Linked DNA regions of Mytilus edulis. Each later gene encodes a partner of the first gene's protein in a complex. Links are inferred from orthologs where the notes say so. Each region holds a gene or a part of one and is shown in the gene's direction. Other genes may lie near its edges. The genes, in order: BBSome complex member BBS7-like and BBSome complex member BBS4-like.

Evidence for each region.
Region 2: BBSome complex member BBS7-like (region 1) and BBSome complex member BBS4-like share a complex: the UniProt entries of both Caenorhabditis elegans proteins name them as parts of the BBSome complex. The link is inferred for Mytilus edulis from reciprocal best matches to the Caenorhabditis elegans genes osm-12 and bbs-4.

The regions. Positions count from the first base shown.
Region 1 is NC_092345.1:61,641,336-61,657,512, reverse strand, and holds the start of BBSome complex member BBS7-like, read left to right. Parts: upstream 1-8,932; 5' UTR 8,933-9,019; coding exon 9,020-9,058; intron 9,059-14,896; coding exon 14,897-14,959; intron 14,960-15,640; coding exon 15,641-15,703; intron 15,704-16,177. Other genes in the region: protein disulfide-isomerase A5-like, read right to left, coding at 8,651-8,686. UniProt on the Caenorhabditis elegans protein: Component of the BBSome complex. The BBSome complex is thought to function as a coat complex required for sorting of specific membrane proteins to the primary cilia.
Region 2 is NC_092348.1:11,240,448-11,256,240, forward strand, and holds the start of BBSome complex member BBS4-like, read left to right. Parts: upstream 1-7,378; 5' UTR 7,379-7,448; coding exon 7,449-7,514; intron 7,515-9,772; coding exon 9,773-9,866; intron 9,867-10,578; coding exon 10,579-10,722; intron 10,723-11,084; coding exon 11,085-11,196; intron 11,197-12,645; coding exon 12,646-12,718; intron 12,719-13,163; coding exon 13,164-13,217; intron 13,218-15,793. UniProt on the Caenorhabditis elegans protein: Component of the BBSome complex. The BBSome complex is thought to function as a coat complex required for sorting of specific membrane proteins to the primary cilia.

The DNA.
Region 1 (16,177 bases):
TGTTGAGATTTACTGCCAATAACAGAAGCAATAAAAACTTAAGGGTAGGCAATTTGAGGCATTACCATGGTAACAAAAGGATAGGTAGGGAAACCTTGATACATCATGTACAAGTATTGTGTTTTCTTTTTTGGCCTGAAATCAACTTATAATATTACAGTCAGGGGTACTACTTGAGGAAGTAAAAATAAATATACACTTATAAGTTAATTTGTAGGATACTTGTACAAGTGAATTTTATTTACTTGCACATGTTGTGTAGGTAACAAAAAAATTGGCTTAGTTATGTCCCTTACACATTCAGATTTTTTTACTTGTATAAGTAAAAAAGTCATCCTATCTTCTTTTCTTGAATTCTTAGGATTTCTTTGCTCTTATAGAATCTTAATTTGTCTGCCCTTTGCAGATGTCTTTACTAATCATTTCAGTGTAATTTCATGGGAAATGAAAATCCTGTTTGTCTGTTATCTTCAGAACACTGCTCATTTACAAGCCCCAAGGAGCAATTTTTGAAGGCCTTGCACAAATACTTAAGATCTTTGCACAATCAGTTTCTTTGTTGAAATAATGAGATGAAACATTGAACTCTTATCAAAAATTATGAGCTAACCTGGGAAAAATCATTAAAGACATGATTTTACATCTCTAAACTTGAGAATTGTTGCGAGATTGTAAGAAAAATTACAAGTGATTTTTTGAGAAAATTAAGGGGAGATTATTCAAACATTATATGTTATAACTAACTTATATGTGTATATTTTAAAATAATACTTGTACAAGTACTACCCATGAGTGTATTAGAACTGGCTTGTTGTTTAGACTGCTTCAATATTTATTAGCACATTTTTGTATTGTAATCCTATTTTAATTAAGCTGTAGATCTCATCTAACATGCTCAAAGAACATGAAGACCAACACATGTACACACACACATGGATGTGTGTTCTTCTCCAATTTTAAAATGTAAAAGTATAATACTATCATATAATCATAATCGTGTGTATCAGTGACAAAGTATAATGAACAAAGGGAGATAACTTATATTTAACTTCAATTTCATTTGTCTAGCACAAGTTTTGTTATTAAAAATTTGCCTCTCTATAAATGCTATCTACTAACACGACTGACAAAATGTGTGAACAACCATATTCTTAATTCACTAATAACCTGAAAGCATCTAATCTCAGCTTTACTTTCAAGAAATTGTCTTAGTTTGATCAAAATACATTAAATTAAACCACTTTCTTTTAACAAACATATTTAAGTTTAAACATGTTTAAAGTAATTTCACTACTCAACTTTTCAAATCCAAGTGTTCTGGTTCATAAATTTTATTTACTTACATTGACTTACATGACTTAGGAACTTCATTAATGTATAACATGCTAATGTAGATGTATTTGTTGAAAATTAAGTCACATTTCAACTTTTTTTGTAGTTCTAAGGACACATTAAATATGAACAGTTTGTGGTAGGGGTTAAAAATTGTGATTTGTACTTTCTGTGGCTCATTTAAACAACTATAATTTTATTAAATTGCTTTGTTTCAGATTTCAGCTTCATGTCCACTTGATAACATACAAAACAGTCATGTGACAGTGTCAGCCTTGGGCTCTGAAGTTGTGATACATGTACAGATAATTTTGTATTTAAAAAAACAATAATATCAACTAAAGTTTATCTTAAACAGTCAGGGGACTTACTGAAATAAGTGATTTTTAAATCACTTATTTGAGTAGCAAATTCAAGGTTTTGTCACAAATTGGGATTTTGTAGTTTTTTCAAAATTTTAAACACATAGGATTAAATAACATCTTTTAATTAGTAAAATTAAAAAATATGAACTTTTTGCTTCTTTTAAGTAGCAAGGTTTATGCCTTTGATGCTATCATTTACCTGAAAATTCTATTTTAGTTGAAAAAATGCTATAATAATGGCTTTACATAATGAACTGATACTTTCTTCAAAGATTTTTCACAGCAGTGGGAGTATTTTTCCTGTGAAGTTCAAGGTTTCATCTTTCAGATTATGTAATAAAATTCTACTGTTCGCGATAAAAATTTCACTGTTCGGGGGTGTTGAAATTAGTGGGGGTTATTAAAAGAATGATACTTAAAGAAGTGATTTTGGGAAGGAAATTGAGGTCTGACACTTAAACAAGTGATTTTTATGTCATTATCCTAGATTCAGTACAAGGTCATCACCTGAAATGACCTGGTCATCCTAGACAACACAGATGTTGGTTCTGATAAGTTTAGAAACATAATTAGTCCCTGGATCATTAGTATTCTATATTTAAAGCTACACTAATATTAAATCACTTCTTCTAGTGATTAATTTGTACTACTTAAATAGGTGATTATTAAAGAAAGACAACTCTAACTTCAAACCTTTATGGAAATAATGTTACTTGAATCAGTGATTTAGAAAATCACTTGTTTAAGTAAGTCCCCTGACTGATAATATACTTGTAAAATCAATTAACATTTAAAAAAATATAAATGACTATGAGATAAATTATAAAAACCAAAACTTTATTTAGACATGTTATGACTTTTACATTTGACCTAGTGACCTCATCTCTTATGTGGTCTTCTTTATCTCAGAAGGCATTGTTCATAATGTTTGGGAAATATAAAGTTTTTCATTTAAAAGATTAGAATTTTGTACAGTATTGTTTCAATATACATGTATATTTCAGATTTCCTACTTACATTCATGACTCAAGAAAATTAAGGTCTACATATTAATTCCTTTTCATCTATCTCAATATTTTTATACCTTTGAAACATGGAGAGACCTTTAATTTTTGTTGAGATTTACTGCCAATAACAGAAGCAATAAAAACTTAAGGGTAGGCAATTTGAGGCATTACCATGGTAACAAAAGGATAGGTAGGGAAACCTTGATACATCATGTACAAGTATTGTGTTTTCTTTTTTGGCCTGAAATCAACTTATAATATTACAGTCAGGGGTACTACTTGAGGAAGTAAAAATAAATATACACTTATAAGTTAATTTGTAGGATACTTGTACAAGTGAATTTTATTTACTTGCACATGTTGTGTAGGTAACAAAAAAATTGGCTTAGTTATGTCCCTTACACATTCAGATTTTTTTACTTGTATAAGTAAAAAAGTCATCCTATCTTCTTTTCTTGAATTCTTAGGATTTCTTTGCTCTTATAGAATCTTAATTTGTCTGCCCTTTGCAGATGTCTTTACTAATCATTTCAGTGTAATTTCATGGGAAATGAAAATCCTGTTTGTCTGTTATCTTCAGAACACTGCTCATTTACAAGCCCCAAGGAGCAATTTTTGAAGGCCTTGCACAAATACTTAAGATCTTTGCACAATCAGTTTCTTTGTTGAAATAATGAGATGAAACATTGAACTCTTATCAAAAATTATGAGCTAACCTGGGAAAAATCATTAAAGACATGATTTTACATCTCTAAACTTGAGAATTGTTGCGAGATTGTAAGAAAAATTACAAGTGATTTTTTGAGAAAATTAAGGGGAGATTATTCAAACATTATATGTTATAACTAACTTATATGTGTATATTTTAAAATAATACTTGTACAAGTACTACCCATGAGTGTATTAGAACTGGCTTGTTGTTTAGACTGCTTCAATATTTATTAGCACATTTTTGTATTGTAATCCTATTTTAATTAAGCTGTAGATCTCATCTAACATGCTCAAAGAACATGAAGACCAACACATGTACACACACACATGGATGTGTGTTCTTCTCCAATTTTAAAATGTAAAAGTATAATACTATCATATAATCATAATCGTGTGTATCAGTGACAAAGTATAATGAACAAAGGGAGATAACTTATATTTAACTTCAATTTCATTTGTCTAGCACAAGTTTTGTTATTAAAAATTTGCCTCTCTATAAATGCTATCTACTAACACGACTGACAAAATGTGTGAACAACCATATTCTTAATTCACTAATAACCTGAAAGCATCTAATCTCAGCTTTACTTTCAAGAAATTGTCTTAGTTTGATCAAAATACATTAAATTAAACCACTTTCTTTTAACAAACATATTTAAGTTTAAACATGTTTAAAGTAATTTCACTACTCAACTTTTCAAATCCAAGTGTTCTGGTTCATAAATTTTATTTACTTACATTGACTTACATGACTTAGGAACTTCATTAATGTATAACATGCTAATGTAGATGTATTTGTTGAAAATTAAGTCACATTTCAACTTTTTTTGTAGTTCTAAGGACACATTAAATATGAACAGTTTGTGGTAGGGGTTAAAAATTGTGATTTGTACTTTCTGTGGCTCATTTAAACAACTATAATTTTATTAAATTGCTTTGTTTCAGATTTCAGCTTCATGTCCACTTGATAACATACAAAACAGTCATGTGACAGTGTCAGCCTTGGGCTCTGAAGTTGTGATACATGTACAGATAATTTTGTATTTAAAAAAACAATAATATCAACTAAAGTTTATCTTAAACAGTCAGGGGACTTACTGAAATAAGTGATTTTTAAATCACTTATTTGAGTAGCAAATTCAAGGTTTTGTCACAAATTGGGATTTTGTAGTTTTTTCAAAATTTTAAACACATAGGATTAAATAACATCTTTTAATTAGTAAAATTAAAAAATATGAACTTTTTGCTTCTTTTAAGTAGCAAGGTTTATGCCTTTGATGCTATCATTTACCTGAAAATTCTATTTTAGTTGAAAAAATGCTATAATAATGGCTTTACATAATGAACTGATACTTTCTTCAAAGATTTTTCACAGCAGTGGGAGTATTTTTCCTGTGAAGTTCAAGGTTTCATCTTTCAGATTATGTAATAAAATTCTACTGTTCGCGATAAAAATTTCACTGTTCGGGGGTGTTGAAATTAGTGGGGGTTATTAAAAGAATGATACTTAAAGAAGTGATTTTGGGAAGGAAATTGAGGTCTGACACTTAAACAAGTGATTTTTATGTCATTATCCTAGATTCAGTACAAGGTCATCACCTGAAATGACCTGGTCATCCTAGACAACACAGATGTTGGTTCTGATAAGTTTAGAAACATAATTAGTCCCTGGATCATTAGTATTCTATATTTAAAGCTACACTAATATTAAATCACTTCTTCTAGTGATTAATTTGTACTACTTAAATAGGTGATTATTAAAGAAAGACAACTCTAACTTCAAACCTTTATGGAAATAATGTTACTTGAATCAGTGATTTAGAAAATCACTTGTTTAAGTAAGTCCCCTGACTGATAATATACTTGTAAAATCAATTAACATTTAAAAAAATATAAATGACTATGAGATAAATTATAAAAACCAAAACTTTATTTAGACATGTTATGACTTTTACATTTGACCTAGTGACCTCATCTCTTATGTGGTCTTCTTTATCTCAGAAGGCATTGTTCATAATGTTTGGGAAATATAAAGTTTTTCATTTAAAAGATTAGAATTTTGTACAGTATTGTTTCAATATACATGTATATTTCAGATTTCCTACTTACATTCATGACTCAAGAAAATTAAGGTCTACATATTAATTCCTTTTCATCTATCTCAATATTTTTATACCTTTGAAACATGGAGAGACCTTTAATTTTTGTTGAGATTTACTGCCAATAACAGAAGCAATAAAAACTTAAGGGTAGGCAATTTGAGGCATTACCATGGTAACAAAAGGATAGGTAGGGAAACCTTGATACATCATGTACAAGTATTGTGTTTTCTTTTTTGGCCTGAAATCAACTTATAATATTACAGTCAGGGGTACTACTTGAGGAAGTAAAAATAAATATACACTTATAAGTTAATTTGTAGGATACTTGTACAAGTGAATTTTATTTACTTGCACATGTTGTGTAGGTAACAAAAAAATTGGCTTAGTTATGTCCCTTACACATTCAGATTTTTTTACTTGTATAAGTAAAAAAGTCATCCTATCTTCTTTTCTTGAATTCTTAGGATTTCTTTGCTCTTATAGAATCTTAATTTGTCTGCCCTTTGCAGATGTCTTTACTAATCATTTCAGTGTAATTTCATGGGAAATGAAAATCCTGTTTGTCTGTTATCTTCAGAACACTGCTCATTTACAAGCCCCAAGGAGCAATTTTTGAAGGCCTTGCACAAATACTTAAGATCTTTGCACAATCAGTTTCTTTGTTGAAATAATGAGATGAAACATTGAACTCTTATCAAAAATTATGAGCTAACCTGGGAAAAATCATTAAAGACATGATTTTACATCTCTAAACTTGAGAATTGTTGCGAGATTGTAAGAAAAATTACAAGTGATTTTTTGAGAAAATTAAGGGGAGATTATTCAAACATTATATGTTATAACTAACTTATATGTGTATATTTTAAAATAATACTTGTACAAGTACTACCCATGAGTGTATTAGAACTGGCTTGTTGTTTAGACTGCTTCAATATTTATTAGCACATTTTTGTATTGTAATCCTATTTTAATTAAGCTGTAGATCTCATCTAACATGCTCAAAGAACATGAAGACCAACACATGTACACACACACATGGATGTGTGTTCTTCTCCAATTTTAAAATGTAAAAGTATAATACTATCATATAATCATAATCGTGTGTATCAGTGACAAAGTATAATGAACAAAGGGAGATAACTTATATTTAACTTCAATTTCATTTGTCTAGCACAAGTTTTGTTATTAAAAATTTGCCTCTCTATAAATGCTATCTACTAACACGACTGACAAAATGTGTGAACAACCATATTCTTAATTCACTAATAACCTGAAAGCATCTAATCTCAGCTTTACTTTCAAGAAATTGTCTTAGTTTGATCAAAATACATTAAATTAAACCACTTTCTTTTAACAAACATATTTAAGTTTAAACATGTTTAAAGTAATTTCACTACTCAACTTTTCAAATCCAAGTGTTCTGGTTCATAAATTTTATTTACTTACATTGACTTACATGACTTAGGAACTTCATTAATGTATAACATGCTAATGTAGATGTATTTGTTGAAAATTAAGTCACATTTCAACTTTTTTTGTAGTTCTAAGGACACATTAAATATGAACAGTTTGTGGTAGGGGTTAAAAATTGTGATTTGTACTTTCTGTGGCTCATTTAAACAACTATAATTTTATTAAATTGCTTTGTTTCAGATTTCAGCTTCATGTCCACTTGATAACATACAAAACAGTCATGTGACAGTGTCAGCCTTGGGCTCTGAAGTTGTGATACATGTACAGATAATTTTGTATTTAAAAAAACAATAATATCAACTAAAGTTTATCTTAAACAGTCAGGGGACTTACTGAAATAAGTGATTTTTAAATCACTTATTTGAGTAGCAAATTCAAGGTTTTGTCACAAATTGGGATTTTGTAGTTTTTTCAAAATTTTAAACACATAGGATTAAATAACATCTTTTAATTAGTAAAATTAAAAAATATGAACTTTTTGCTTCTTTTAAGTAGCAAGGTTTATGCCTTTGATGCTATCATTTACCTGAAAATTCTATTTTAGTTGAAAAAATGCTACAATAATGGCTTTACATAATGAACTGATACTTTCTTCAAAGATTTTTCACAGCAGTGGGAGTATTTTTCCTGTGAAGTTCAAGGTTTCATCTTTCAGATTATGTAATAAAATTCTACTGTTCGCGATAAAAATTTCACTGTTCGGGGGTGTTGAAATTAGTGGGGGTTATTAAAAGAATGATACTTAAAGAAGTGATTTTGGGAAGGAAATTGAGGTCTGACACTTAAACAAGTGATTTTTATGTCATTATCCTAGATTCAGTACAAGGTCATCACCTGAAATGACCTGGTCATCCTAGACAACACAGATGTTGGTTCTGATAAGTTTAGAAACATAATTAGTCCCTGGATCATTAGTATTCTATATTTAAAGCTACACTAATATTAAATCACTTCTTCTAGTGATTAATTTGTACTACTTAAATAGGTGATTATTAAAGAAAGACAACTCTAACTTCAAACCTTTATGGAAATAATGTTACTTGAATCAGTGATTTAGAAAATCACTTGTTTAAGTAAGTCCCCTGACTGTTAAATAAATCAAAATACAATGTTCTGATTCCAAAGTTATTTGAACTTTGAAATTCCTAAACTGACAGCAGTTTTACAAACCAATGAGTACAAAAAAGACTTGTTTGGACTTTGTTTTAATTATGAACATGATGAATCAAATGTCCCTATCATGCTGTTGACCTAGGATAACTTTTGGGTCAAAACACACCTTGTATAAGCTGAACCTTGCTTTTTAATGCAGATTTTTCTGTGAAATTCCCTTATTTGAAAATATGTATTGTATACAATTTGCTTCAGAAAGTAAATGTATGCGTATCAGATGACTCAGTATCTGATCATTGATGGTCAATAGAGAAAACAATGCCAGCATTCTTTTACATTCATTTTGTTGACATGCTTGACTATATACACGTATATCATGTTTATCATAACTAAGAACATGTGTACATCTATGACTGTGTAATGATGTATAGAGCATGACAGTCAGTGGATATATTTTTGTTCAATCAACAATGCATTTTGAATTTATAATGGTGCAAAAGTTTTGCGGGTACCTGAAAATTAATGTAAAGTATCAAAAAATCATTACCATTAAGATTAAAAGCAATAAATATATCCTTGCCATCCTTATAATGCCACGTATTGGTATGTAGCCGGTAGCCTTATCATTTGGGTAGAGCTCTTCACAGTTAAGGTAAAAATCTCCTTTTTCCCGAACTTTTTAAACATTCCATTTGACATGACTGAGATTCCAAATACAACTATTATGTTGTCTTAATGAATTATGGTTAAATGAAAAATATCTTCCACGAATCAAATTAATGTTTAAAAACAACGACCATGAATTATTCAAAAGAGAGAGAAAAAATTTAACTATATACGTGATGCATAACTTAGCAATACCGGAAGTTCTATACTTGGCAACATTCAACATTCCAAAATACAAAATACGTTCAAGATGATGGAATTAAACTTATCACGAGTTGATTACCTCCAGGTTGAATTTCATTTATCTACATGATAACATGTCAATCTTTTGTTCAAGTTCAAATTAGAATTAATGCATACTTAAAGGCTGCACTCAAACTCAAAGATGCAGATTGTTTTTCCTGCTTGACCAACATACCAAGCTTTAACTGTTTAAGATAGGCTACAGTTTACTCTTTATATTCCACCAACTATATTAGATGAACAATTTTTTTTGAAAGTGTAGCTTCCCTAACTTTAATATGAGGGAGGTGTTATACCCAACTGCGGCCAAGCTTCGCGATAGGTCGTGCGACATAATGGTATCCGGTCGTTCCGGCCCCAAACCGATCCGGCCCCAAGTCAATCCGGCCCTAAGTCGATCCGGCCCAAGTCGATCCGGCCCACGTCGATCCGTCCCCAAGTCGATCCGGCCCCATAATAAAATATGAATTAACTAGATTTTGGAGGAATTTGTCACAAACTTTAACAGTATAAATGGAATTTGAAAAAAGTCTCCGATTGATGATGGGTGACAACAGGTCAGTGAAGTATTGGAGTACCAGTTAACGAACTATTTTAAATCCATACGGAAATTAGTGTTATTGTGTCTGTTTGTATCGCAGTTTTATTCATTTTTAAATTATGAAGTTATTTTCCATGATAACTTTTACTTTGAATTTCATGGCGATTTTTATTTTATTCAGTTCACACACAGAATAGCTAAATAAATATTTACAGTCCAGTGGACCTATAAAATTTAACGCATAATAATGACTTATTTAATCAAATCATTAGTCTATAATTGGTTTGTTTATTCAACAGTTGTCTGATGATTGTGAACTAAGGTAATGCGACTCGTAATGATAAATCACTTAATTCAATCCAATGCTGATTAATTAAAGTTACGTAATCCGTTTTTCAACAAGGTCTTTATAGTTTGATCTTCTGGTTGGTGTATATTAAAATAATTATTTGTATTTTTTTTCCAGGTTACATCATAGGCTTCTATACCATATAAAAATATTTTTTTGTAACATCGGATATAGTCAATATATTTTTCTTATTTTGACAATATTTTGAATAGTGTGTAGATAAAAAAAAAAGAAGTCATATGAGTATCCATTATTCTTTATTGCAAGAAAACAACAAAACAATGACATTGAATGCACGTTTTCACTCTCTAAAATATAATATCAGCACCCTTTTATCATGTTCATAGAAAGGATTCGGCAAATCAAACAACATTTCTCAATTTTAGAAATGTCAAGAACCTAAAAAGAAAAAAAAAAGTTAATATTTATCAGCTTGGGGATCGGCTTGTACCGTTCATGTATGTAACTATTTGTTATTATATGTTACACAAGATGAAAGACTTGTTAGGATCACAGTCAATTGAAAGAAAATGCTAATTACATTACTGCTGATTAATGTTGATGTCTGAATTTTTTTATATACGTTTTAATATAATTATACCCAATAATCTTAAAAACTTGTAATAAAGACATAATCAACCTAGTTGTTTTATACTCATCTAAAGAAAATATTTTTCAAAGGCCTTTTTTACTTTTTTTTACCGTACACCTTTAACATTATAATAAAAATAATAAACATTTATGAATTACAATTAATATATATTTATTTTTATTCCTTAGAAATATTTTTTTTTATTGGGGCCGGATCGACTTTACATTTGGGCCGGATCGACGTGGGGCCGGATCGACGTGGGACGGATCGACTTGGGCCGGATCGACGTGGGGCCGGATCGACCCGAAAGCCGACATAATCAGACAAACAAACTTTATTAGATTAACTCTCTAAGGAACGATCGTTTTCATTGGTCAATTCAAACCTTCGACCTCACACCTGCAAAAATAGAACACGCGTACTTTAACGTTGAATGGACTGATTAATATTCACGTAGCTGGTCAAGGTCGTCTAAAGCTTCTATCGTCGTATTCGCATGCATGATTCTAATCACAATTCTAGCTTAATGTGCATGTGAAATTCATTTGTGTTATAATTTTCTGCAATTAATTGGTAGTAAAGTTTAAACTTTAAAATCTTAACAGTTAAAATATTCAATTTAAATATCTCCTCTAAATCAAGGGACGACATCAAAAGTTTAATGTAGGATAAAAAAAAAACCTCAATTCACATATTTTTTTTCATTGACACACCCAAGTTGCTTATCCTGCCTTCTCTTTTACTCAATGGACTCGATGAATTAACGTTGTACTTGAAAAATGAAACTGTATACTTTACTACAAACACTTTTCATATTGTTTGCCAAGTTTTAGATATTCTTCATAGAATAGTGATTTTTTTTCTGATTCCATTATAACTTGAAGGAAAAAAATAAATTCCAAAATTGTAAGTAAATTCATAACATGTAACACGCTTTGTTAAGAAAAAAATGGAGATGGCCAATCATGGCACAGCGGATAATTAAATGAAGTTTATACAAACGATATAATTCATGAGGTTTTGCTATTCTCGGTTGAAAAAACGAACGTAAATTATATATTGTAAATATTAAACCGTTGGTTTTCCCAAGTTGAATGGTTTTACACTAGTAATTTTGGGGCCCTTTATAGCTTGTTGTTCAGTGTGAGCCAAGGCTCTGTATTGAAGGCCTTACATTGACCTATAATGGTTTACTTTTATAAATTGTTATTTGGATGGAGAGTTGTCTTATTGGCACTCACACCACATCTTCCTATATCTATGTAAATACAAACAAACAATGTCTGTATTCATTAAATCATTTAAATGTATTTATAAAAAGGTGAGTTTCATCTTGTACATACATTTAGTCATCCTTAATTTCTTGATATTTTTTATCAGTTTATCATACACGTTTCGTTTTGTATTTTATTTCAAATACGAATACATACTACATATACTTTAGCGGATTGTTCAACAATGTTATGCAACTCTATTGTTACAGTATAAATTTAAAAAATTAATATTCACACATTCATAATCGAAAACAGTACATTTATATGTAATAAAGAAGATGTGGTATGATTGCCAATGCCACAACTCTCCACAAGAGACCACAATGACACAGAAATTAACAACTAAAGGCCATGGTACGGCTTTCAAAAATGAGCAAAGCCCATACCGCATAGTCAGCTATAAAAGGCCCAGAAATGACAATGTAAAAACAATTTAAACGGGAGTTGTTCCTTATAAACTACGACATTCCTCACAAGTATTAATATTTATTTAGTTCCAAACATTCGAAAGAAATAATCTTCACTGAATTCATTCAGGTGCACAATTGATACGATTAGTTATTTTGTTTCTATCTTTGGGGAACAACTTCCTCCTTTTATGGTAGCTACTGTATGTATGTTTTAGCATGACAATAATAAAGGAGGAATGTCAGTGCAACCCATCATTAATTATTGTAAAGCAGGATCAGTATTATGAAATACTTTATAAGTGACTACGACATTGTAAGGATTATAACCTATCGTAGGTATGAAAGAAATTAAAAGTGGTTCATTTATTCATCCGTATAAAAGCGGCACATGTATTTTATTTTATCCTTATATTTCTCTGACATCATGCCGGGTACAAGATAATTGAGTTGCTGCATGCATAAAGAACTTAGAATATCAGTATACTTTTTTGACCTCACTATTTGAAGTTAGCAAAACATTTATTTAAATCTTTTGGCCAAAGGTTTGTAAACTATACAAATCATTGTTTTTACGTTCGTAGTAACATAGTAAATTCCATTGTCGGTCACCTGTGTCAATTCACGTGCACACTGACTAGACTGACTACATTGCTGTTGTATTTAAATCTTTCCGCCAATGAAATGAGACGTTACAAGTTGTTTGTTTATGATACGCCAGAATGTTATCAATGAACTATCAAATGCTAAACTTCACTGCATATCACTGTACATGTACCTGTGAAAGAGAACGAAGTCGGAAAAACTTGAGGAAAACTTTAATTATTTACTGTGCCTGTCTGAGGGTCTCATTGGGGTGTTATAAGTGTGATGCGGGATGGGCAGATTTTTTTAAATCGTGACACATGAAAGTCTAATTAAGTGTGAAAACGGGAAACAAAGAACGACGGGACACGGGAAATTACATGCACTATAATAGTAACGTGAAGTGGGATTCAGGATTCTCACTAAACAATAAGAAGGATCCGACCCCCCAATGAGACCCCCTTTACTATATCCTGTAAAGTTAATAGCAGATCTATAATATGTAATATATATATATATATATATATATATATATATATATATATATATATATATATATATATATATATATATATATATGCAATTCCCAGCATTATCATGATTATATCTGGTGAGCATGGTGAGAAATCAGGCAGGTGTTACCTGTGAAAAATAATTCTTTTAAGACTTAATATTTTAACAAAATTAAAACTAGACTAACAGACTAAGATCTGAATTAAATTTCCCCCCATTTTACATTTTTTTAATCACTATCATGACTATAATTGGTTATTTACCTTTAATCATCAGTGATTTGTGGCATAAACAGAAACCATATCAATTGATGAAGGTTTTTCATGGCCATATGGGCATATTATGTAGTCGCAATTGAAAACTTCTACCTTTTATGCTACCTTCAGTGGCAAATTTTCTAGGTTGAGCTATATTTACATTTGTATTATCTCTATTGACATTTTTCAAACTAGCTCTCAGTATCTTCATCATTATTTGAAAGTGCTGTCCCAATATTTTAAATGCATAGTTGAATATTTCTGTGTAACAGATCTATATCTTATGAAGCTATTGCTGTCAGAGTGCAATTTAAAAAAAGACACTTAATCATAATGATCATGTAAATATCGTAAACTAAATTTGACAAAAGGTGTGTGTTTCATTCATGTCTGTCAAATATCTGAAATTAACAAAAATGAAATATACGAGGTGCTCCATTAAAAATGTACTCTAATGGCATTATAGAGGTGGTGTTACAATATAATATATAATTATAATAATAATATAATTAAAAATCATGGAAACTGTAATAGATATATATATACAAAAAAACATTTATGATAAAATAGCAAAACCTCATATAAGTTCTAATTGCCAAAAATATTCAGTCAACTTGTTATTTGAGTTGTTGCCCTTTAATGACATTTTTCTTTACATTTTGGGATTTCTATGCCCCACCTACGATAGTAGAGGGGCATTATGTTCTCTGGTCTGTGCCTCCGTTCGTCCGTCCGTCCGTCTGTCTGTGCCTCCGTTCGTCCGTCCTGTTAAAGTTTTTGGTCGAGGTAGTTTTTGATGAAGCTGAAGTCCAATCAACTTGAAACTTAATACACATGTTCCCCATGATATGATCTTTCTAATTTTAATGCAAAATTATAGTTTTGACCCCAATTTCATGGTCCACTGAACATAGAAAATGATAGTGCAAAGTTCAGGTTAAAGTTTTTGGTCAAGGTAGTTTTTGATGAAGTTAAAGTTACATCAACTTGAAACTTAGTACACATGTTCCCTATGATATGATCTTTCTAATTTTAATTCCAAATTAAAGTTTTGACCCCAATTTCACGGTCCACTGAACATAGAAAATGATAGTGGGAGTGGGGCATCCGTGTACTATGGACACATTCTTGTTTTGTATGTAACAAATCAAATATGAGAATTTAAGTTTAATATGAGATCATGAACCCTGACAGCTAATGGGGCAGGGATATAAAGTTTCATCTGTGAATTTACATGAGCCTGTTGGGTTAGCTATCAGTTTATTTGGCCATCATATCATGCAGATTGTCCAGTCAAATAAGAATCTATATTTTGTTTATTGACAGTTTCACAAATCTGATATGTCTTATACATGTATCGTTATAGGTTGGAGTGACATCACAAAAATCAACAAAGTTATTTCCTGGAGCTGTAGGCAAAACGCAAAGGGTGAGTTTATCATTTACCTAAAGCTACAGAGTTCCTACTCAGGATTTTTTTTTAAAGATGATTAGATTGAGACTATTGACTGTATGGGAAAGTTAAACAAAATAATGAATATCAGATTTTCGGTTCATATGAAATACCGATATGTGGTACATGTATGAATGCCAACAATAAGACAACAGGGTTCTCGCTAAGGATTTTTGAAGGAGAGTCCAGGGACTCGTCATTTTTAGCCATGATGAGTCCAACAGCAAGAAGAAAATATCTTATTATAATATATTGTAATATTTTAGTCTCTATTTCCTAACAGAGCAATGACATGACATTAAATTCAGATCACTTTTAAACTTTTGCTATAAAATGATGGTATTTGTGTTTAACTGTGTTCAGTTTAAACAAAATATTTCAATCTTGATGCATCTGTGGACTCACCAGTTTTGAAAATGGTGAGTCCAAGACTCATGGACTCGCCTTAGTGAGAACCCTGAAGACAACTATCCACCAAAGACTGAAAGATTGGAACAGATTTAGAACTTTATCAGATCTTAACCTTTCTGCTTTTATTATGTTGATATGAATACCAACGAAAGAAAAGAGCAAACTTAAAAAATAGGACCTGAGTTCTTACTTCTAATAGTACATGTTAACTAATCACTGAATGTTTTTTTCTTTATTTTGATGTAGATTGTAGTTGGTGATCAAGATGGATTATTACAATGTCTTCAGATGAAAAAAGGAGATGCTCAGGTTTGTAACAAATATTTATGGAAATTATTGAGGTTTAGTATAATGTAATGCCATTTGTTTGATATAGACTTATAGAACTGTCATAAGAAATGCTTCTATTATTAGTATTAGTTATAGATGGGAAAATGGATTTAATGGATTGATTGTAATTTCTGTCTTTCTTTCCATGAGCATGATCTTTTTAGAAAGTTGGTTCCTTATAAATAAGGAAAATGTTTTTTACACCCAGTAAATGTATCAAAATTGGAAAAATAAAAATGATATTACCTCAAATGTAGTTTATATCATGCATTTAAAAATATCATTTAAAGTATGGATTACAGGCCAAAACTATTGGTCACATGACTTGTCTTCTTAAAAATAAAACTAAACAAAATAGTACAGTCTTTTATAAAACTTACATTTTCTGAGTTAGTTCCCCTTAATGTCAAAGTTGAAAAAGATATTTTTTTAATTTATTTGTAAGAAACAATC
Region 2 (15,793 bases), on another chromosome or scaffold:
CTTACATCAATAGATATAAACAATTCACCAAAGTTTCATGGACATTGGTGAAAGCCTTTTTGAGTTATTGTCCGAAGTGTTGAAAATCCCCCTTTTTTTATGAATAAAGCCCCATAAATCCAAAACTTAAAATCTGAAATTTATAAAAATTGAAAGGGAGCTTACATCAATAGATATAAACAATTCACCAAAGTTTCATGGACATTGGTGAAAGCCTTTTTGAGTTATTGTCCGAAGTGTTGAAAATCTCCCTTTTTTTATGAATAAAGCCCCATAAATCCAAAACTTAAAATCTGAAATTTATAAGAATTGAAAGGGAGCTTACATCAATAGATATAAACAATTTACCAAAGTTGCATAAAATTTTGTGAAAGTTATTGTCCCAAAATTGGAAAATCCCCCCTTTTTTAAGCATAAAAATTCATAACACTGAAATGTAAAATCTGAAATTTATAAAAATTGAAAGGGAGCTTACATCAATAGATATAAACAATTCACCAAAGTTTCATGGACATTGGTGAAAGCCTTTTTGAGTTATTGTCCGAAGTGTTGAAAATCCCCCTTTTTTTTATGAATAAAGCCCCATAAATCCAAAACTTAAAATCTGAAATTTATAAGAATTGAAAGGGAGCTTACATCAATAGATATAAACAATTCACCAAAGTTTCATGGACATTGGTGAAAGCCTTTTTGAGTTATTGTCCGAAGTGTTGAAAATCCCCCTTTTTTTATGAATAAAGCCCCATAAATCCAAAACTTAAAATCTGAAATTTATAAAAATTGAAAGGGAGCTTACATCAATAGATATAAACAATTCACCAAAGTTTCATGGACATTGGTGAAAGCCTTTTTGAGTTATTGTCTGAAGTGTTGAAAATCCCCCCTTTTTTATGAATAAAGCCCCATAAATCCAAAACTTAAAATCTGAAATTAAAAAAAAACGAAAGGGAGCTTACGTCAATAGATATAAACAATTCACTAAAGTTTCATGGAAATTGGTGAAAGTGTTTTTGAGTTATTGTCCGAAGTGTGGACGACGGACGGACGGACAACGGTATACCATAATACATCCCGTCTAAAAGACGACGGGCGTATAAAAAGTTATGAAAATGTTATTGTGGTCAATATCATCTGTAGCGATAATAGAAACATATCCTTATTTTTCGATTTTGTACAAGTTAAAACCATTTTTAAGCAATCTTTTGTACAGGTTATATAACGTGTATGGTGTACTTTTGTACATGTTATAACTTGTATTTTTGCATTATGCAAGTTATAACATGTACAATATTTTTGTACATGTTATAACCTGTACAAAATCGCAACTTGTACACGACATATATACTAGGACCAATTCATTTAGTTTTCACTCTTTATCTATATATATGTCGTGTACAAGTTGCGATTTTGTACAGGTTATAACATGTACAAATATATTGTACATGTTATAACTTGTATAATGCAAAAATACAAGTTATAACATGTACAAAAGTACCTCATACATGTTATAACCTGTACAAAATATTGCTTAAAATTGGTTTTAACTTGTACAAAATTTAATATAAATCTTAATGAAGTAAAATATACATTTAAATTCACCAATGCATAAAGAACAACAATGAATAGGCCAGAACGAGTCTTTTTCTGTAGAGGACAATGATCACAAAGTTTCAGAAATATATGTATCATGACTTATGTTGGCAAAATGTGTTTTCATATAATTCTATGTTTTATGCAGTCCATCATGGCTTAAATAAGTGTTAAACTATTTACTAAAAGCTTGCATTCCTCTATGACAATTACATTAGATACTAGTAACTAAATTCTTCCAAAAAATTTAAGAAGGATTCCTTATAATTTTGGCAAATACTCCTCCCTCTCGTTTTTATAGCATGCAAAGACTAAAACAATATATTATATGCTTACTCTGTAAAAGTAAGAGAGAGCTGAAATAGTTTTCATTGGACCACGCTTCATTATCAATATCTTTGGATCTACTCTTCAACATTTTTGGCCTTCAGCATGACTTATGTAAATTTATAACTCAATTTTTGTTTATAAACTATAAGATCATTGCATGAGGCGAATGTCATTTTGATGTTTTAAATATATATCATCTACTTTGAAAGCATGTATTTGTGGCCTTTGGATGTTGTCTGCTCCATGGGCAGGTTGTTGTCCTTTAGACACATACCCCATTTCAATTCCCAATTTTATTTGTAGACACATCTATCCTGGCTATCCTCTTATGTCTTTAAGTGTCAACTAGAAAGAAAGTATTTTGCTATTGCCTTCAAAGTGGACACTCACAATTATAATTCACTAAATAAAGATATGTCCATAGATAGTCATAAGAGGATCATAAGACATGTCCTAAGATATGTCTTATGACAGGTCTTAGGAATGCTTCGTAATACCGACCCCTGGACAATAACTGTATCAAAAAAGAACAAAACACACTAACATGAAGGAATAATACAAAAGTTATGAAAATGTTATTGAGGTGAATATCATCTGTTGCAATAATAGAAAAATATCCTTATTTTTCGATTTTGTACAAGTTAAAACCATTTTTAAGCAATATTTTGTACAGGTTATAACATGTATGAGGTACTTTTGTACATGTTATAACTTTTATTTTTGCATTATACAAGTTATAACATGTACAATATTTTTGTACATGTTATAACCTGTACAAAATCGCAACTTGTACACGACATATATATCCAGAAGTTTTTCTTTTATTTCAATATACTCATTTATGTATTGTTTTTAAAGAAAATAAATGTATGCCTTTCCAAATGACAAATGTATAAAGAAATTTCAATATTCCTTTTTTTATTTTTGCTTTATATTTAAATGCATCAAATAAATTTAAGCAGACATGATTTGTAGAACAGAATGCAACCCTCTGTCGCACCGTGAAAAGTCGTAAGGTTGTAAGTCACTGGCGTTGATGGAATATGCTCCTAAACTTGGCCTGCTACAAATCAAATCATGCACATGGGTCTATTTTGTTAGATGAGGGTTGGAAGGAGGAACAATTTGATAAATAGAATTGAATAAATATATTTAGTTGTTTTCTTGAACCTTTACAATTCAATCACAAAGACACTACACAAATGTGCTTTCAATATACACTGTGATAAGACTGAGAGAAAAAAGTGCTATTAAAGGAACAAATTACAGCCGCACAATAAAGATCGAATGGAGGAATTACTCATTGACATAATTAGTATAAAAAATGATATGGTAACATCCTATATAAAAGGCGTAATAATTTGCATAAAGCAGTGCCATGGAAAGATAAATAATTGGAGGACAAATAAAACCACGCACAAAAAGACGATTAACAAACAGTCCACAAGACATTACAATCAACACGTGTGTGAAAATGTTTATGTTAAACGAAGAAGTATATCAATAGGCCAATATTTCTCATAGTTAAGATTTATACATCTTGGATTTTTTTTTCGAGAAATATTAATACGAGTTCGTTGATCGATGTGGAATACCTGTTTCACAGATTAATCAAGGGCGTAGCTAGAAAGAAACGATGTGGAAGCAACTACCGCCGAGCGGAGCGAGGCGAAAAAAATTTGGGACCCTATTATGCAGCAAATTTTTTTTTTCGGTTTTCGGTCATAGGACGGTTAAAAGAGGAGCTATATGTAGATAAAAATTTATGAATGTAAAACTATTAATAAATCTTCTGAATATAGTAATACATAAACAACACATAATTGTGATACAGAATTTACTCAAAATTGTCCAAAATCTGCTCTTCGGGTCTGGTCAGAAACAAACTTCTCTATTACTTTGTCAACATTCACACTGAAATCCCGATGAATATGCAGTAATGCTATGTAACTTTCGTTGTTCATTGTTGATCGTACATTTGTTTTCAATTACATACGTAGTACCGTGACTGATAGATCTCAGGGCCATCATGGCATGCTAGCACTCGAGAGATGTTATAAACCAGCGTACGTGTTCGGCATCGAGCGACCTCCCAATTGAATTCGTCAAAATTACATGCTAGGTCAGTTTCGTATGTTTCAGACAATATTGAGATTTGTTCGTTTGTGATATTTCCTACAACACGATGAAGCAGATACAGCACAAAGAAGCGATTTTCTGATAGCTTGACGCGACCCCACTCTCCAGTTGCCTTATCAAATGGTCTATTCTATGAACGCAAAAAATAATGAGACTTTCCAATACTGTTTTGGCGTGGTTGCAGGGTGATTGGCTCCGGTAGTCTGTCAACCACATCGCCTCGGCATATTTTCAACGATATCGAAGGGATCTGATAATTCTAATGCCGATTGGTACATCTCATTCCAAACTGATGAACTGTACACTGTAAAATGTGCTCCAAAACTACATATCTTAGACTGAGTATTACAAATTCAAAAGTAAAAATCTTGCAAAAGATACAAGTACCCTTCCGATTTTGTCATAATCTCCAAAAACAAACCCAATTATTTTGAAACCAAATGTCGTTATTTAATGATATTTCATCAATTAAAAAAAGTGACAACATAGTTGTTTCCTTTAACATTCAATTTATAAATTTTTATTTTGCCATTTCTTTTTTTGTATGCCGAATCAATGTGCACGCAACTTCGGAGCTAACGTTACGATCATTTTCTGAATGAACAGCTTCATCAACACTTGTAACTAGGTTGTCAAACTAATATCCGGGATAGACAGAAAAGACACCAACAGTCTCCGATTCCGATTGATCAACATATCTCTCTCTCTTCTGCTTTTTTTTTTTTTTTTTTTTTTTGTGAAAACGACGTGGATGCACGTGCTGTCGTGCCTCCGGGTAGCTACGCCCCTGTAATAATACGTACACTTTCTAATTGACCGGGGCACCTGATATATTCCCAAGTTTTCTTTTTTGGGTTTTAGTTTTGGTGGATTCGTGCTGCTTTAGATTCCTATGTTTATTGTTGTTTTTTTGTTGTTTTTTTTTTCATCCTCTTTTTTTATTATTATTACTTTCCATGGCGTAGTCCGTTGTTCTACGACTACACGTTTTGAGCGTCCCTGTGTATCATCCGCCTTTATTTCTTTTTTTACCGTACGGCCTTCAACAATGAGCAGAACTCATACTGTAGCAAATGCATAAAAATCCAGAAAAACGCCTCTTGCTTAAATTGACTAGGTGCAAGGACGATTTCATTAATGAATGTTGGTCTCTTCTGCTTATTATTCGAATTTGGAAATGTTTCTTGAACTTCTATGGTTTAGCTCAATACTTGTACTGAATTTGCATGTGTTGTATACTTTACGGCAAGTTGGAAAAAACTTGAAATTTGGTTGTTGGTCCGAATTTGTCAAAAGAGGTTATATAAAAGGGACACAAATAGAAACTTGGGCACGGTAGTTACGTTATACAGATTGGAAGCCATGATATTTTTTCACTCAAAAGGTGCAAATAATGGTGCTAAATTCGAGATACGAATAGATTAGCATATTTTAAGCTCAGAATATTTACATACGGTATATTCGACTTGGTATAGATAAATGAGAGGAGATGTGGGGTATACTCCAATGTGACAGCAATCCAACGATTTACCAAAAGACAACCAAAAGTCCATGTTCTATCTTTACTAAACGTTCAAGCTCTAAGTCTCTCCATATCCCAAAAAGTGGTGAGTAAATTAAAGGGGGAAAATGAATAGAAACTATCAAAGATCTGAAGAAAAAAACTTTACTTACCAAACCAAAAAAACATGAGAGAGACCTATAACTGTTTTAGACAAACAGATTTCATAACTGTTAGTATAACACTAGAAATGTATTATGATTGCAAATGAGACAACTAGTATACAGATCATCAGTTTTTTTTTTATTTCAATGAATTATAAAGCTATTAAACAGATTGTTTTTGCGATACAGTGTGATTTATTAATCAAAATAGTATTTTATAAGCCAGGAACCTGCAGTAAAACGAAATTAGTCTACAGTTTCAGATTATAAATAATGAAATAAGCCTCAGCACATAATTTCACTCCGATTTATCGAGGGAACCTCAAACATGTTTACCATCTGCCTTATTAGGGATCAATAATTCTGAAATATTTAGATTTAAAATTTATTTGCTGTTATTAGTTTAGAAAAAAAGTTCAAAATACTTTGTTTAAAATACTTTAGTTATTGAATTTAGGTGATTTAATTTTTTTGTTGTAACAATTATAACATTTTAATTATAAACATTTTATTTATATGCAACAAAATTTCAACACCCCAGAACATGAAATATATAGTTGATTCAATATTTCACAGCTTGAATTTCCTTAACAGAGTGGTTGCTGCTTACAAGGATTCAAACTGATTAAGTGGACGGCGCCCTTTGTTATTTAGATTGTTAAGTTTTCCATTTTGTGCTTTGTAGACTGCCGGCTGACTTTGTCTGTTGGTTCGTTTTTAACATGGTTTTGTCCCTTTGTCTTTGACTATGAGTTTAGTATCCATAAGGTATCTTCTGCTCTCTTTTAAAAAATGTAAAAATGTAAAATGTACACACTTATTGACATTTTTTATTGCAGTAATGTTGAACTTATTGTTTTCTCTTACCATTCATGTGAATGTTAACTACATTGATATGCACTGTATTCTTAATAATGTCGGCTGAACCAAACGAATTTGCATGTATGTCCTTTAAGTTGTGCAACTGTATTTTGTTATGGTGTTGGGCGATTTGCCAGCGGGCGAGCTGTCTGGCTTCCACAGTGATTTATAATAAAAGTTAACAACGAATATACGAACAAATAATGGTATTTCGTATTACTACATGAAATCATATGGTGTCCTGTATGATTCTACATCTATAACATAACATACAAGACTTATTTAAAGTCGGTTATACATATAACAATACAACATAAGCTTTGTAGAGACTATAGTGGGGCGATTTTATATAAAGTGGGGCGAGTTGGTGAAAAAGTGGGTCGATTCGGTGTGGTCGATTTGCGGTGGGGCGAGTTGTCTCAAGTTGCTTCCACGTCGATATATTAAAAATAATACCAAAATAAAATAAACGGCAAAAAAAAACCAGAACAAATAATGGTAGAATCTCATTAGTATTGCTACATAAAATAGTGGTCTGTATGATTCTACATCTATGAATATCATGTTCATTCATATCGGATGGGTTAATTATTGGTACGTTATTATGCGTTGTTAGATATAATTGTTGGTCGTAGTCTTCACTGTAATGTTCGAGTGTTATATCGATTTAAAATATTGATGACTTCGAAATATTCAGTATTGGAATTTTTTGGAAAAAAGAAAATAGCTCTATTATTTTGAATTAATATATATTCAGGAATTATATATTCAACAAAGTTGTAAACACGAAAGGGATTAAATGATTTTTTGGTTGAACTCCCAAACTAGAATTCGAACAAACCTCTGTAACTATTCCTAACAATATGGCCGATGGAGTGCGAGAAGGCAGTCCACTGCCAGATAAAACTGTACTTACAGAAGTAGTTCAGGTATAAATAAGAAATATGTTGCTGTAAAATTCAGTTTCCATGTTATATTATCACTGTATATAAATCAATTGGCAGTCACTGCAAATACAAATACAATATAAATATTTCATTAGCACAAACTCATCAACAATAATAATATTAAATGGTAAAGGCTCATGGTATACATACCTGCCAACTGTCACTATTTGCGGGAGATGAGTGGGTCTTTTCACCGCCGAACACCACCACACACCACCGAACACCTGAAAAACCACCAACCACTAAAAACTTTGATATTATACAATAAAACGATAAAATAAATTAAATTACATATAATTTAATCAATTTTTCGATTTTTATGGGCATCATTTTTATGTTAAAATCGAAAATCAATACAAGAAAAAACGTCTCCGGATTCATCACTTTCAGGATTACATTGTGTGTTATAAAATTCAAATATATTCATAATCAGTAATCAGTTCAAGTATCCTGGATCTCTATTCATTGGTTAGATTTTTATATTTTTCTCTTTTATTATTATCGGTACAACTATTTTATAGAAGAGTTAGAAGAAGAAAAAATGGAAAAAGTATATTTGAAATGTCCATGAGGGTCAGCGGAGTTCAAAAAGTTGGGTGTTACAAGACTCTTCCTTTCTGTTTTCTGTAGATATTCGGACTTTAAATCTTCTTATTTGTTGAATTAATAACTTGAATATCATATTTAATTCACATTGATAACGATAAAAGACCAAATAATAAACTTTTGGGGTGTTCGGTGGTGTTCGGCGGTGTACGGTGGTGTTCGGTGGTGAAAAGACCTACCGGCAGGAGATTTCCTCCATGGAGGCTCCCAAATGAAAATTTTGAAAGAGCAATTTTTTCACCAATTTTAAACAAAACAATTAATTTTACAATGGCTATAGGCTTGTAAAAGTATGAAGAGGCCAAAAAACAACTATCGTAAAGTGGTTTTACTAAAACTGCATGTAATATAACAAAGACGTCTAAACTGGATGAATTTGTATTGATGACTGAAGTACAAGATAACGTCATAAGTAAACGACGTTGGATATACAATAATGAATGCCGCGTTACGTTAACGTTCTCTTCTGTGCGTGATTTCCAACAACAACATTTAAATGTATTTGAAGGCCTTCTTTAAGGATTTGTAGAATTATATAAGAGCCATCATGCACGTAAAAAACCCATGGGCATTTCGGAAAGTTGGCACTGGCAGGTACACATGTATGGGTATATCATCTACATAGTTGGTCAAACATAAGAAGTATTGCAAATAATGACTATATTATATTAAATATGTAATATTATAAGGCCTAAAAAAAAAAATCTGTGTTTCCGGTAACATCATTTTGAAAAACAGGGTCAGTTGATAACCATTTTTTTTTTTTTTTTTGAAGATCCAATAAAAAAATTTGGGTCGGGGCTAAAAAACAGGGTCGGTCTGGTTACCGGAAACTCAGATTTTTTTTTTCTCGGCCTAAACAATGATTATTGATTAGACATATTGACAATTTTATAAAGTTTGTTCTGCTTTACGCAGGTTCAGACTGTCTGAAATGAAAGAGGAAGTCAATTTTAGGATTGTGTATGAATTATTATTTAACAAAAAGATTATATTATTTTCATGTTTTTGAAATTTTGTAGGATCAATGATTATATTTGAAACTTTCTGTTAAAATATGGCCCTTTTAGTTGAGTATTTTTCACAATGTAAAAGAAAATGTTTTTCATTTTCAATTTGACCAGAATTACATACAGAGCAGTATCTCTCATTTCTGGGAATATTTAGATGTCTCCCTCTTTCAATCATCAGTATATGAGCGCTTATACCTTTATTACATATATCATGTATATTGCAGCTCTGTCACTTCTGTTTTTCAATATATCAACATAGGGTGGTCTTCTGCCCATTATGTAGACACTCTTGAACAAGTCTAACTTGGCTAGAAGAGTGTATGAAAAGACACTTTTTATTAGTATTTTTAAAAACACTAAACAATTCTATACATGTACATTGTACCTTGGCATGAATCCTGGTCCGTTCGCCAAAATCATGTTTGCTCCCATTCTCGTTCTCAGCATAGGGGGGTAGGAGGGGTCCTGAGCCCAAAATTCAGGACTTAAAAACATGAAATAGGAAGTCCCGAATTTAAAAAATCTAAATCCCACCATCCCAAAATTTGAAAAAACAAATTCTCGGATCCTGAAGATATTCTTTCCAACTGACTTAGTTTTAATAGAGTGTTCCTTTTGTAGGAGCCAGTGAAGATAGCAGGAGCATCAGACATAGACACCTCCTCTGATGTACCAAGTATACCAGCTGGTCCTCCCAAACCTAAACCAAAAAGAGGTATAGAATACATGTACACTTGATATTACTTGTATTTAACTTTATTATAGTATATATTATTTGTATTAAACAAAAATAGATTTTATGCATAAAATAATTACATTCAATGGCAATGCTTCTGCATCAATCATCCATGGTTATGATGATGATAGAGATAACAAATTGGTTAAGCATTAAAGCGCTATCTAAATAGTCAGGATAAAATCTCAAAATTAGGCCAGTTTAAGATGTTTAAAGTTCTAATGCCTATGTTTAAGGCAAAATTCTAAAATATTTTTATACTGATGTCTGTCAGACTGGTGACTTATGAGCATCTGTAGAATTTTATTTAATATATTTATCTTACTTCTTGATTTTGGTGAGTTATTGCATTTTGAATTGCTTGCATATTGTGTTTGCATTCTTCTGATTTTGTAGATGAATCTTTAAGTTTATCTTGATTTCCGTCTATCTCTGTCTATTGATTAATTTTGGTTTTCATTTTACAGTAAGTAAAATTTAAAGAAATGTTTTGTAAACTCCATCCTTATGATCTCCACTTTTGCTGGTGTGAATTCTGTATTAGGCACTGTTTTAATGTAAAACTAAGGAGATATTGGTTGAACTGACAATGAGACTTCTGAACACCAGAAACAAAAGGATGTTCATGTAATCAAACTTAGATTTAAAGAAAATATTCTAATTTTACTGAAGTTCTTTACTTTATTTATAGCACCAGAACTACCAATATTTGAGAGAAAGAATTGGTTGATTCATCTTCATTATGTCAGGAAGGAGTTTGATACATGTAAATCACTCATCAAAGAATCAATGGCCGAAAGTGGGGGCATGTGTGAATATGCTGTGTATGTCCAAGGTAGGATTGTTATGTAGTTTTATATACCAGTACTTTTGACAGGGAGTCTAGCTACATGTAGATAGAACTAAATAAGAGTTGGAATAGAAATATGCATGTAAAAAAAAAATATTTATACATTTGATAAATTTTTCCTGAATTTCATTAGTGAATATTGTATTATCACTTTAGTAGCAATCTAATAAGTTTTTGCAATGTTGCCACTGTAAAAATTAGCAGATATGCATGAGCCAGTGCTGTTTATCATGTATGTATTATTTCATTTTTTTATGAAGAAAACTTTTATAATACTTGTATTAAAAATTAAAAAAAACAACATATAAATTGAAAAATCTTCTGTTATTACATAATTATATTTTCAGCATTGATATTAAGACAGGAAGGTAGGATACAAGAATCTCTAGAACTGTTTCAGACCTGTACACTACTAAATCCTCATAGTGCTGATAATCTGAAGCAGGTAGCAAGATCACTGTAAGTCATAGTTTCATCTAGATCATGAATACTATATTAAGATTCACAACTAAAATTATTTTAAGGATTTTATTTTTAATAAACTTCAGTAGTATGAAAAAGAATCTTTAGAAATATCAAAATTGAAATGAAAAACTTGACACTAATGTGTACAAACATTTATTTACTTTAATGATGCACATTGATTTAGTTTAGAATATTGGTTTAAATTCATTTCAACACCAAATTGAAAAGTTTGTATTTATTCGAACAATGTGTTTGATTTTTTATTCAAAGGAAATGGATTTAACCTTGATTGTTCTAATTTTTGTCGAGCCTGCAACTTTTGTTGCAGAAAGCTCGACATAGGGATAGTGATCCGGCGGCAATGGCGGCGGCTACGGCGGCGGCGTTAGCTCACTTCTTAAAAGCTTTATATTTTAGAAGGTGGAAGACCTGGATGCTTCATACTTTGTATATAGATGCTTCATGTTACGAAGTTTCCGTCAGTCACATGTCCAATGTCCTTGACCTCATTTTCATGGTTCAGTGACCACTTGAAAAAAAAGTTCAAATTTTTTGTAATGTTGAATTCTCTCTTATTATAAGTAATAGGATAACTATATTTGATGTGTGCATACCTTGCAAGGTCCTCATGCCCGTCAGACATTTTTCACTTGACCTCGACCTCATTTCATGGATCAGTGAACAAGGTTAAGTTTTGGTGGTCAAGTCCATATCTCAGATACTATAAGCAATAGGGCTAGTATATTCGGTGTATGGAAGGACTGTAAGGTGTACATGTCCAACTGGCAGGTGTCATCTGACCTTGACCTCATTTTCATGGTTCAGTGGTTATAGTTAAATTTTTGTGTTTTGGTCTGTTTTTCTCATACCATATGCAATAGGTCTACTATATTTGTTGTATGGAATGATTGTTAAGTGTACATGTCTAGCGGGCAGATGTCATGTGACCTTGACCTCATTTTCATGGTTCAGTGGTCAAAGTTAAGTTTTTGAGTTTTGGTCTTTTTATCTAATGCTATATGCCATAGGTCAACTATATTTGGTGTATGGAAATATTTTATGATCTTAATGTCAGTCGAGCAGGTTTTATTTAACCGTGACCTCATTTTCACGGTTCATTGCACAGTGTTAAGTTTTTGTGTTTTGGTCTATTTTTCTTAAACTATAAGTAATGTGTCAACTATATATGTTGTATAGAAGCATTGTTAGCTGTACCTGTCTGCCTGGCATGGTTCATCTGACCTGGACCTCTTTTTCAAGGTTCATTGGTCTTTGTTTAGTTATCTTGGTTAATGTAAAGTTTATGTGACAGTTGTAATAAAGCTTAGATTTATACTTAAGACTATCAACATAATATCAATGATTAGTATAGAAGGCGAGACATTTCAGCGTGTGCACTCTTGTATATCTAAAGATAGTTTCTGAAACTATTTTAATGAACAGATTCCTATTGGCCAGACACAAAGCTGCCCTTGATGTTTATAATGAAGCCATAAAACTAAATGAGAGAGATTGGGTAAGTTGTTTAAGTTTTAACACATCACAGTTATAATTTTCCATATTTTGTTTTTAGATGACGAAAAAGGAGTATTTCATTGTTGTTTTTAAACAATATGAATAGGGGAAAAGTATAGTGAACCATTAAATTTGCATAATCTTTTCATAATTGTTGATTCTGTAATGTACAAATGTAATATTAACATCTATTTTGCCACTGAAGCTTTCAATTAATTTTTGTTTAAACTGAAAGTTTTACATACTAATTTTTTTGATTGTCAGGGTTGAGAAATTGAAAGTCAATTTGTGTTGTTCTGGAGTTACCTCCCATATAAGTGTAAAATTAGATTGAGTTGTCTCCCATATTGTGACTACATAAAATCTAACTATAAATTATGAAATAAATTTATTCATGAGAAATACAATATGCAGTATTCTAATTTGGATGTTTTAAATATTTACAGGAAATAGCTCACAACCAAGGAGTTTGTAACATGTACTTGAGAGAATATGACAAGGTATTTAGTCAAATAGAGAGAGAATATGACAAGGTATTTAGTCAAATAGAGAGAGGATATGACAAGGTATTTAGTCAAATAGAGAATATGACAAGGTATTTAGTCAAATAGAGAGAGAATATGACAAGGTATTTAGTCAAATAGAGAGAGAATATGACAAGGTATTTAGTCAAATAGAGAGAGAATATGACAAGGTATTTAGTCAAATAGAGAGAGAATATGACAAGGTATTTAGTCAAATAGAGAGAGAATATGACAAGGTATTTAGTCAAATAGAGAATATGACAAGGTATTTAGTCAAATAGAGAGAGAATATGACAAGGTATTTAGTCAAATAGAGAGAGAATATGACAAGGTATTTAGTCAAATAGAGAGAGAATATGACAAGGTATTTAGTCAAATAGAGAGAGAATATGACAAGGTATTTAGTCAAATAGAGAGAGAATATGACAAGGTATTTAGTCAAATAGAGAGAGAATATGACAAGGTATTTAGTGAATAGAGAGAGAATATGACAAGGTATTTAGTCAAATAGAGAGAGAATATGACAAGGTATTTAGTCAAATAGAGAGAGAATATGACAAGGTATTTAGTCAAATAGAGAATATGACAAGGTATTTAGTCAAATAGAGAGAATATGACAAGGTATTTAGTCAAATAGAGAGAGAATATGACAAGGTATTTAGTCAAATAGAGAATATGACAAGGTATTTAGTCAAATAGAGAGAGAATATGACAAGGTATTTAGTCAAATAGAGAGAGAATATGACAAGGTATTTAGTCAAATAGAGAGAGAATATGACAAGGTATTTAGTCAAATAGAGAGAGAATGTGACAAGGTATTTAGTCAAATAGAGAGAGAGTATGACAAGGTATTTAGTCAAATAGAGAGAGAATATGACAAGGTATTTAGTCAAATAGAGAGAGAGTATGACAAGGTATTTAGTCAAATAGAGAATATGACAAGGTATTTAGTCAAATAGAGAGAGAATATGACAAGGTATTTAGTCAAATAGAGAGAGAGTATGACAAGGTATTTAGTCAAATAGAGAGAGAATATGACAAGGTATTTAGTCAAATAGAGAGAGAATATGACAAGGTATTTAGTCAAATAGAGAGAGAATATGACAAGGTATTTAGTCAAATAGAGAGAGAATATGACAAGGTATTTAGTCAAATAGAGAGAGAATATGACAAGGTATTTAGTCAAATAGAGAGAGAATATGACAAGGTATTTAGTCAAATAGAGAATATGACAAGGTATTTAGTCAAATAGAGAGAGAGTATGACAAGGTATTTAGTCAAATAGAGAGAGAATATGACAAGGTATTTAGTCAAATAGAGAGAGAATATGACAAGATATTTAGTCAAATAGAGAGAATATGACAAGGTATTTAGTCAAATAGAGAGAGAGTATGACAAGGTATTTAGTCAAATAGAGAGAGAATATGACAAGGTATTTAGTCAAATAGAGAATATGACAAGGTATTTAGTCAAATAGAGAGAGAGTATGACAAGGTATTTAGTCAAATAGAGAGAATATGACAAGGTATTTAGTCAAATAGAGAGAGAATTTGACAAGGTATTTAGTCAAATAGAGAGAATATGACAAGGTATTTAGTCAAATAGAGAGAGAGTATGACAAGGTATTTAGTCAAATAAAGAGAGAATATGACAAGGTATTTAGTCAAATAGAGAGAGAATATGACAAGGTATTTAGTCAAATAGAGAGAGAATATGACAAGGTATTTGGTCAAATAGAGAGAATATGACAAGGTATTTAGTCAAATAGAGAATATGACAAGGTATTTAGTCAAATAGAGAGAGAGTATGACAAGGTATTTAGTCAAATAGAGAGAGAGTATGACAAGGTATTTAGTCAAATAGAGAGAGAATATGACAAGGTATTTAGTCAAATAGAGAGAGAATATGACAAGGTATTTAGTCAAATAGAGAGAGAATATGACAAGGTATTTAGTCAAATAGAGAGAGAATATGACAAGGTATTTAGTCAAATAGAGAGAGAATATGACAAGGTATTTAGTCAAATAGAGAGAATATGACAAGGTATTTAGTCAAATAGAGAGAGAATATGACAAGGTATTTAGTCAAATAGAAAGAGAATATGACAAGGTATTTAGTCAAATAGAGAGAGAATATGACAAGGTATTTAGTTAAATAGAGAGAGAATATGACAAGGTATTTAGTCAAATAGAGAGAATATGACAAGGTATTTAGTCAAATAGAGAGAGAATATGACAAGGTATTTAGTCAAATAGAGAGAGAATATGACAAGGTATTTAGTGAAATAGAGAGAGAATATGACAAGGTATTTAGTGAAATAGAGAGAGAATATGACAAGGTATTTAGTCAAATAGAAAGAGAATATGACAAGGTATTTAGTCAAATAGAGAGAGAATATGACAAGGTATTTAGTGAATAGAGAGAGAATATGACAAGGTATTTAGTCAAATAGAGAGAGAATATGACAAGGTATTTAGTCAAATAGAGAGAGAATATGACAAGGTATTTAGTCAAATAGAGAGAGAATATGACAAGGTATTTAGTCAAATAGA